2 separate regions of the Mus musculus genome follow, and region 1 is reported to be linked to region 2. The links are microRNA targets in miRTarBase. Many come from high-throughput screens and were not tested one by one. Region 2 holds a microRNA gene; the other region holds the end of a gene's coding sequence.
The links. The annotated mature microRNA mmu-miR-190b-5p reads UGAUAUGUUUGAUAUUGGGUUG and lies in region 2 at 2,217-2,238, opposite strand. An mRNA with a match to its seed (bases 2 to 7 or 8) in the 3' UTR can be bound and repressed. Matches are read on the target gene's strand: a 7mer-m8 pairs with bases 2 to 8, a 7mer-A1 pairs with bases 2 to 7 and ends in A, and an 8mer does both.

Region 1 (5,064 bases), not on the chromosome of region 2:
TTATCTTATCCATCTAGAACTGTAATCCAAAGCAAACTCTTGCTTGGTCACGGTGCTTTGTCACAGCAACAGAGAAGTAACTAACACAGAGGAGTTTCATGAAACTTCAGGGAGAATCTAGTCTCTATAAGCACACAGAAGGGGTAACTAAACTAGGATCCAGCCCCTCTCAAAGATGGTACTGCCGGATGGATAGACAGACCATGACTCTGCATGCCGAGTTCACTACAGGCTCTGCCTGGACTGTGTGGTCTCTGCCTGCGGCAAGCCTACTAAAGCTTTGTTTTACAGGATGTGGGTAAGGATGGGGCACAGTGAGACATCCTTGAGTTGGTGACATTTAATTTTTAAGCAACAGAGGGGCTTGGCAGGTGGCTCAGTGTGTCACAATGCCTGCCATGCAAGCATGAGGGCCTAAGTTCAAATCCCCATTACCCGTGTTTAAAACAAACACACAATGCTGAACATGGACACACGCACACCTGTAACTCCAGCACTGGGAGGACAGGGCAGGGCAGAAACAGGATTGCTCTAGGGCTTACTGGTCAACAAACAAAAAACTCTAGATTCAACGAGAGACCTTATCTTAGGAGGTAAGGGAAAAGAGAAACAGAATGATGCTAACATCAACATCTGGAAAGAGAAGAACATGGCCACCCTACTGACCTCTGCCTTGAGCCAGCAGCTATCTCTGGGAAAAACAAAATGCTGCCCTAGAGGAAGAAATCAGCCAGGACCTTGGATCATGGGTGTCTCTGATGGCTCTGAATAAGTAGTAAAATGCCAGAGTGTCTGGTCCCATGTGGCTTTCATTCCCACTGAAACAGACTAAGATGAGCCATTCTTAGTCCGTACAGTGCTGGGCCAATGTGTGGTCTTAAGAAGGTGCATCCTTTCTCACACCCTAGACTCCTCCCCATAGAAGAGGGATCACTCGCCAGTCCTACTTCTCAGTGTTACTGGACTAACATCTAGTCATCTCCATGTGAAAGCCAACATTTGGGAGATGAGAACTTACGAGATGCAATCAGGCTTATTCGAGGGCCAGCACCTTGGCAGATGGATAAGGCTGTCCTAAGAGCTCTGCTTTGGAGGATTCGGGGATGCAACCGATGTTTACAGGGAAGAGAGAAGCAGAAAGGCTGCGTCTGGATGCTGTCTTGACTTCCAGTACCCTTTCCCTCTGGCCTGAGCCGGACAATGGAGTCCAAGCTGTTGCAAGCCAAACCTCACAGAAGTGCCCACACTTCCTAGTAAAGACTATGAAAAGGCTGAAATGTTTTATGTTGTATGAAGAGCACATAGATGTCCTAGATCCTGTAAACCTAAAGAAATACAACTCAGCAGTTAGCACATTGATCCTTTAGGCAGGTCTTTTCTTTTGAATTTTGAGTGCCAGGCCAAAGGAAAAGGACCTAAGGCTTGCAGAGGAGTAGGAAGGTGAAGCAGGCCTTGTGGCAGGGTGGCTGGGGGATGTGGGAAGGCTTAGGGAAGGGAAGCAGGAATATGGAGGGGAATCAGGCCTCGGGGAAGAAGTCCTGACGAGGGGCAAAAGAAGGCTCTGCTAAGAATGGCTCCCAAGAAGTAGCTAAGCTGTCACAGCCTAGCGCAATGACAGTGGTAAGACTATTGAAATGTGCAGAGGTTAGACCAGGCACCCAGTCTGTGCTGATTGGCTGGGCTGCCATCTGAATTATCCAAGATAGTCTGTAAGCATCGAAACAACAGTGACAGGAAAGGATGAGGTCATAGCAGGCTGAAACCTTCCTTCTCCAACCTGTCTGGCTCTCTCAAGGGGGATGGTTACGTAAGAAAACACCTCACTTCACAGCTTGCCTCTATCCCACGGAAACTGGCAGTATTGTCAAAGAGAACCTGGCAAAGCCCACCGGAAAAGAGAGCACCCTCAACCATCAGCTAATGTTCCTCCTCCCAAAGTTTCGCTTACAAGAAGTCGACTGAATACAGTCCAATGGTATTAAATGGAAAATTCCAGAAACAAACTACTGGTGAGTTTTTCGGTTACTGTTTTGAATACTATAGGGGAAATCTCATGCCTTTCCACTCTCCCCTCACCACCCCTGCCAGGACATAAGTCATGAGTCTGTACAGTGTGTCCACACTGAATATGCTACCCACCTACTAGTGATAAGGATAGTGAAGCTTCATTTATGGGGCAGAATCTTGGTAGACCAATGCTTATGTCCAAATGACCCTTATTCTACTTTGTAATGGTTACAGATATAACGAAAGAAAGACATAACAGCCTTGTAGGTACGAGCCTTACTAAGATCCTTGTGGCAATGGGCAGGGTTCTGAAGGGAGAGAGCCTTCAGTTTGGGGATTTGAAGGGAGTTTCTGACTCTTAGAGGTTGCAGGGAGGGGAGTTCACACCACACCAGTGACCTAATCTGAGTGTTAGGAATGGAGCAAGAAGATGCTAGATAGGAGGGTGACTTTGAGTATGAGATGGCCTTGGGTCAGTGCATGGGGAGCCCTTGATTGCCTCTGGCTGCAGATGTGGGGGTGGGGGCCGGGGGAGGGACTATGGAGGAGGCCACAGTAGGTCCCACCTGACTGCTCTCTGCCTGAAGTGGCAGAGGCTGCAAATGGCATGGCTTGACATCTCTGAGCTTGCGACATCTGCTCTCTGTTGTACTGGCTAGTTTTATGTCAACTTGACACAAGCTAGAGTCATCAGAGAGAGGAGGGAGCCCCAGTTGAGAAATGAGCTTCCATGAGATCCAGCTGTAGGGCATTTTCTTAATTAGTGATTGAGGGGGGAAGGCTCAGCCCATTGTGGGTGGGTGCCATCCCTAGGCTGGTGGTGGGCTTGCATTCTATAAGGCGGCAGGCTGAGCAAGCCATGAAAGACAAGGCAGGCAGGCAGTAGCAACCCTTCACGGCCTCTGCACCAGCTCCTGCCTCCAGGATCCTGCCCCGCTTGAGTTCCTGTCCTCACTGCTGTTGATGATGAGTGTAACATGTTAGTGTGAGCGGCCATATGTTTTTATAACTGCTGTGCTTTATTTTCAGTGAGGATAGTCATCTCTTACTGTGACTAGTAGATGAAGCACATCTGTAGGGAGGGATGCATATGGAAAAGAACCATCCATATAGGGCTCGGAGCTGCCCACAGTTTCAGGTACCCACCGTGGGCCTTGGGACCTGTATTCTATTCACAGAAAGCTATGTGGGGGCTCTAATCTGGATAGGGTTGAGTCAAAGTACAATGGCTATGTGTGTACAAAAGTAGTTTGTCCTGGTGATATGTCTCCCCCCACACACACACATGCACACACACACACTTTTTGTTACAGCCACAAAACAACTGATTCCTACTCTGAAGACTTCGTCTGTGACAAGCCTGAGTGACCCATAGCTATGTCTCACATAACCCTCCTCTGTTATTGGGTAATATGGGAACCACAGGACTGTGAGCCATGTAAGAGGGACCCGGACACCATCAGCTATGACCCATTAGCAGAGTGCACGGGGCGGGGGGTAAGGCAGAACCCATCACTTAGGACTCCTCGATTCAGCTTGCTTTTAGTGCCCAGTCTTGTCTCTGCCCAGACCTGTGTCCCTCACTCTGCTTATGCATCCCACAATGCAATATGGGATACTTCTGAGATCTGGGAAACCTATTCTAACAGGAAAATGCAAACTCTTGACGTGTGTAGGATGGGCTTCTGACGTGAGCCCATGATTTCTGTGCCCACCACCCACCACCACGCATTCACTCAAGCCCGAGGACAAGCCAAGCTACACAAAGGGACACCTTCCAGAAGGGAGGAATTCGTCAAGCACCAAATCCTGTGAGAAAACAGTGAATCAGTCACAGACCAAGTTCCCCACTCCCGGAACCAGCTCTGGGAAGGAGACGATTGGGTGGAGATCTGAGATCTGGGAACAAACAGGTGACTGCATCTTCACCAATTCACATCAGCAGTTCCTGGCTTCGTAGCTGCCCCAACTGGTGTTCGATGGCTTTGCATGAGAGCTTGCCTGTGTTGGCAGGCACTCTGAGGAGAAAATCTAGGGTGGTGGCAGGGAAAGGTGCCACTTGTGTGCATGAGTTGGTTCATGAAGCACAGAAAGAGCATCCAAGGTCGTTTCAGCCCCAAAGTCCAGAGGTCAGGGGCTTTAGCAGCAAGCCACTCCAGGTGTCGGGGTTAGGAGAATGCTCTTCCCGCTGTCTCCCTTTCAGTGCAATGGGCAGAGCAGTAAAGCTGATACTCGCATCCAACATGGCCACACAGGAGTCCAGGGAAGGCTCGGGCTGTGACCACCCTCAGGAGCTCAGGGGCTGGCTGGTTCCCTTTTCTTCAAGTCTTCAGATCTCTCTAGAAGTGAAAACAGGGACCGCTGTTTTTCCCCTGCAAACCATGTCTCAGACAGGTTTTTCCACCAGGTGTTATCAATGGTTGCTGAGGAGGGAAAAGTCTGCCAGCTCTGGATGGCTCCCACCCAGGAAGCCCTTTGCACTCTTCATCTCTACCCAAGACTGTCCCACAGACTGCTACGTGAAGGTGCTACGTCTCGGCTGCATGCTCCGGGGGATTAAGTTAGGACAGAAACATTTTGTTTTAAGCCCTAACTGGATAGGGAAACATGCTCAGTAGGGTGAGGATGGTGGCGTGGGGACTCCCTGGGCCTGGCATAGAACAGTACCACGGAGTGAGAGGAAGAACCTCCCAGGGGACAAGCCAAACCTGGGAATCTTCCTACAGAATGGAGGGGGCCTCCAGACCTTCCTTGAGCTACTTGGAAAGCGATTTAAAAGCAGATGTGTCTGGCAGGTGACATTTCCTGCAGGTCCTCCGTGGTCAGAGGCAGCTGATGACTAAGATGCCCAGAGAGACTGTCCAAAGCCCAGCCAGCCACCATCGTGAAGCCCCTCAGACAACAAGACACTTCAGAAACCAGGTGGGTCTTTCCCTGCTTGCCAGTGAGACTTGATACACCAGCCGTTCTAAAAGAATGTTCAAAATGTTAAGTTCACCTGGTCCTTACACCAGATCCCTAATTGAGACTGACTGGAAGAAGGTCCTGGGGCTCTTT
Region 2 (5,072 bases):
TATTGGATATGGACCAAACTCTACTGGTTTGGTCTTTGGATTCCTGGTATCTAAGGAGCGTGGTCAACAGTGACGATGGGAGGTCACTCATGATCGTTGACAATTCCCCCAGATTGACAGTTGGGATTGCTGGGCTATTTTGGGATTCTCTAATAGGCAAGGAGACATTAGTCTGTAAAGGCCATAGGATAAAGTTGAAGGCCTGGGATCTGAAAGGGTATCTCAGGGTGTCAAGTGGGATGAGAAACAAGGAGGTCACAGAACAGGATCACGTTTTCTCATAGCGACCTTAAAATAGAAGGTCTGACATACTGAAGACTGTCGCTTTCCTCTACTCCTCTTCAACTGCTCCCTCTGTGGCCCCCTCCCCAGCCCGCTGTCCACCATGCCATTATAGTGTCCACCAGCTCTACTTCCCCCAGTGTAGTGCCAGCTATGCTCATAATTCCACTTGGAATCTTGCTATTGACAGGTGGCAATTGATCCCATACACAGTTGCCATATACCCATCTATGCCAGAGGAGTGGACACTGTTCAAGGTGACCGGACTGGAGCTAGCAGAGCAAGTAGAAGTGGTTCTAATTAATTCATAATGTCAAGGATAGTTAGTGTTGAGGCTAAACCACAGCAGTGTGGGACCGGAGTCAAGCATCAGGGTGGGGGCAGGGGCAGAGCCGGCTCCCTCTCGAGAGCCTCCCTGTTAAGAACAGACTGATACTAACAGACTGGGAGGAGAGACTTCCAGCTAACTGTTGGAAGAAAGCAAAGAAAACAAGCACCCCCAATTGAGAGGCCAGTCAGGAAAAGGGGACAAGAGAGAACCAGAGAAAGGACATGTATGGGTTGATAGAGAAGAGGGCAATAGAGAGGAGAAAAAGACAAGAGCAGAAGACAAGGAGGAGAGATACATCCTTTCTACCATAGGGGGCAAGATATATGAAGAGTTGCTCCTCAAATTTCAGCTCTCTCCCACTTCCACATGAGCCTTCCGGGTTAACATGGGCTCTATATACATCTCTTTTAGGAGAGTTGTGGAGAGAAATTTAGTTAGAAAAAGAATCGCCAGGCACGGTGGTGCATGCCTTTAATCCCAGCACTTGGGAGGCAGAGGCAGGTGGATTTCTGAGTTCGAGGCCAGCCTGGTCTACAGAGTGAGTTCCAGGACAGCCAGGGCTACACAGAGAAACCTTGTCTTGAAAAACAAAAAACAAACAAACAACAACAACAACAACAACAACAAAGAACTGATACTTTTAGCCGGGCAGTGGTGGTGCATGCCTTTAATCCCAGTACTTGGGAAGCAGAGGCAGGCAGATTTCTGAGTTCGAGACCAGCCTGGTCTACAAAGTGAGTTCCAAGACAGCCAGGACTATACAGAGAAACCCTGTCTAGAAAAACAAAACAACAAACAAACAAATCATGGGGCTGGTGAGATGGCTTAGCAGGTAAGAGCACCGACTGCTCTTCTGAAGGTCCTGAGTTCAAATCCCACAACCACAGGGTGGCTCACAACCATCTGTAACGAGATCTGATGCTCTCTTTTGGAGTGTCTGAAGACAGCTACAGTGTACTCACATATAAATAAATAAATAAATAAATAAATAAATAAATAAATAAATAAATCTTTTTAAAAAATCATAGGGCTGGAGAGATGGCTGAGCGGTTAAAAGCACTGACTGCTCTCTTCCAGCGGTCCTGAGTTCAATTCCTGCAACCACATGGTGGCTCACAATCCTCTGTAGTGGGATCTGATGCCCTCTTCTGGTATGTCTGAAGACAGCAAATATATATATATACATATACATATATATATATAAAATAAAAAATAATGTAATAACCTGGGTCTATAGCTCAGTGGTAGAGTATTTGCTTAGTGAATATGAGGTGTTGGGTCCCATCACCAACATTTTACAAAAAAACAAAAAAGGAACAAAAAAAAACAAGCACTGGGTATGGTGGCATGTGCCTTTAGTCCCAGTGCTCAGGCGGCAGAGGCAGAGGCAGGAGGACTTCTGTGAGTTTGAAGCCAGCCTTGTCTACATAGTGAGCTCCAGGACCACCAGGGCTATGTAGGAAAACCCTGTCTTGAAAACAAACCAGAAAGTCAGGCAGACAAGAGTCTCAGAGCCCCAGGGGCTGACGGAGCCAAGGAGGTGGTGCCAAGTCTCCTTACTGCTGTGAGAGTATGCTTGACATTCAGTTGGTTCATAATTTAACAACCCAATATCAAACATATCACACAGAAGCAGGCAGGCAAACTCTGGTCGTCATCGGCCCCTCCCCTCTCTGTGAAGAAAGGTCAGGGAGACGAACCAGAGCCTCACCATGTACAGGAGGAAACCCATCTTCAAGGGCACTGACCCTTGTGGTCTTTCACTCCCCAAATATGGTCTTGGTTATCTGTCCTTCATGCCGTCCCCACCACAACCCCTCTTCTACTGTGTTCAGTGTGTGCTGGATCATGTTTTTGTAATTCAAGAACACTGGGCAGGGCTTCATATCCGGGCACCTACCGTTTCCCGAAGCTCCCACACAACTCTTCTCCTCCCTGTTGTGTGACAGCACCAGCTTCCAGAGGATCACCATGTCAGCAGCGCCTCAGAAGCTTTGCCACCTGCCTTTCGATGCCACCTCAGCTGCCCAGGGCTTTCCGGGGGGTAAGGTTAGGGGTTTGCATCTCCTCTACTTTCTCCTTTCCAACCAAACTTCTAACGTTCCCAGATTTCTTTTCTCCTGTGAGACTGCTCAGTCTTCTCAATGGACTCCAACTTCATAGCTTCAAGTCAACAGGAGTTCCAGAAAATGTTTGCAATGTGGGGCTGGTGCTTGTACCATCTGGGTCCTTGTTTCCTCCTCATGACCTTAAGGCATCCTCCTTCAAGGTACCATTGGGTGTCCAGAACAGAAAAGCTATTGCACTCACAGGCTTCAGTCTGGGCTCCAGACTAGCAGACTCCCAGCTTCTCCTTCCTGGCTGAATTGAAACTAAGGCTTTTAGATCAAGAGCAAGAGGGAACTGCTTCTGTCAGGAGGCAGCCTGCAACCCTCAGGACTCCCATTCCTTTCTACAGCTTTCTGTCACCAGAGGTCCGGGGCTGCCTTCTCCAAGGCTCTTCCTTCATAGGGATTCAACCTGGTTATTTTTCCCCCTCTTGGAGAGAATTGGGTCTGTTGAGTGCCATTTGGCTGATGCTTCACTCACTGTGGCAAAAAGGAGCCCAAGTTATAGCTGCACGGGGGCTGGGAAAACACTCTTTATCAGTCCTCAGGCATGTTCCATGTGTCCTTGCTCCCATTAATTCTGACATCTCCCTCCCCCACACAACTTCACAGTGACTTTGTCTTAGATCAATAACATGTCCCAACAACCAATCAATTCCAATTAATTGGATGTGGCACTTGCCTCCCAGGGAAAGACTAATAAATGTGACTAAGCCCCAAGTTAGGTGCTTGTGGTATTTTGTCTTTTCTCTTTTGTAGTTCCCAAAGTCTGAGTGTGTGTATGAAATATTTATATTCTTGCCCTCCACTTACTGATGTTACCCCTCATCTCTCAAGTTCTATTTTTCCCTCCTGAGAGCCTTGGCCATAATGGGAAACAGAAAGGAGGAAGAGAGGCTGGAAGGAGACTAGAAAGAATGGAAGACTCCCCAAATGAGGGTAGCAGACACCTTTAACTGCAGTACTTGGAAGGCAGAGGCAAGAGCAGCTCTGGAGTTTGAGGCCAGCCTGGTCTACATAGTGAGTTCTAGGACAACCATGACTACATAGAGAAAACTTGACTCAAAAACAAACCCAAACAGAATTGAAGTTTAGGGTACTATAGGAACAGAGAAAGGTTGGGCATATTGGTGTGGGAGGTGCGGCTCTCTAGGAAGACTGGGTGGCGCAGTTAAGAAGAAACACCACACCAACGAAAGTACTTTATCTTTCCTTTTATTTTTATTACACTTTCATATTTTGTGTGGTTGTGTCATGGTGCCCATGTGAAGGTCAGAGGACAATTTCCAGGAATCTGTTCTCTCCTTTATGAGGGTTGATTAACTCAGGTCATCGGGCCTAGTAGGAAGTGTCTTTATCCACTGCACCATCTCACAGAGCTCTGCCAGTGGTTTTTAGGCAGCTATTTCAAATAGGTTTAAGTCCCAAGTCACAAGGCCAGGGTGTGACATCAGCTCCAGCAGCAGCATGGACTGGTGGGGTACAATTGAGCGATGTGATGAGTGCACACAGTATTGGCAGGGAGGGTCAGGGAAGATGAGCGCTGTAGTGAGCCAACCTGCCAATAAAGGAGTCGGCCTGGCACTGATGAGCCCTGAGGCAACAGGCCAAGGTCAGAGATCCAGGCAGACAGGATGGGGCATCCAGTGAGTCTAAATGAACAAAGGAAGAGAGAACTGAAGAGGTTGGTTATAAAGTGTAGTGGGAGTAGAAATTAGGGAAGAAAGTACCATGGAGTAGGAAGACAGCATTATGGCTTCCTGTTTGTATTACTTATTATGTGTGATTTCTTCTAGGTGTCTTATTTAATTCCCACAGTAACCCAGTAAGGTTGGAATTGTTTTCATTTCATAAATTAGCAACCAAAACTCAGACTTAAAATTATTTAAAAATGTTTTATATGCATGGGTGTTTTATCTGCATGTCTGTGTACCATGCGTTTGCCTGGTCCCTGCCAAGGCCGGGAAAGGGATACTCTGGAACTGTTGAGTAACCATATAGATGTTAGGAATTGAATCTGGGTTCTTTGCAAGAGTAGCTAGTGCTCCCAATCACTGAGCCGTTTCCCCAGTTACCCGCTTCTCAGATTAAAAATTGGACTAGACCAAACTAAGCGAAAAGGCCAACCCTGAAAACCAGATCTGTCCATTCTATTAACTCTAGGCCATACTATCTGGTAATCAGCAGGTGGTCCAGGAGACAGAAGGAAGATTAAAGAGGCTAAGAGGGTACAGACCAGACTAACACAGGGCAGGGACAGACAGAAGGATTCAGTCAGTCTTGTCAATCAAAATCCAGGTGGCATTTTGTGGCTTCATCTACAAAACACATGCTACACTTGTAACTCCTGT

Region 1: the mRNA of Tmprss3 is a reported target of mmu-miR-190b-5p. Seed matches in the 3' UTR shown: 8mer at 3,267-3,274.

What each region holds. Positions count from the first base shown.
Region 1 is chr17:31,176,258-31,181,321 of GRCm38, forward strand. It overlaps Tmprss3 (transmembrane protease, serine 3), which reads right to left. Exons shown (of 12, transcript NM_080727.2): 12 at 3,008-4,346. The coding sequence ends at 4,329. Among named protein-coding and RNA genes, the nearest start is that of Tff1, 14 kb to the left of the region's middle.
Region 2 is chr3:90,067,196-90,072,267 of GRCm38, reverse strand. Mir190b (microRNA 190b) reads right to left here and starts at 2,248; the gene lies at 2,169-2,248. It overlaps 1700094D03Rik (RIKEN cDNA 1700094D03 gene), which reads right to left. Exons shown (of 4, transcript NM_028567.2): 4 at 3,921-5,072.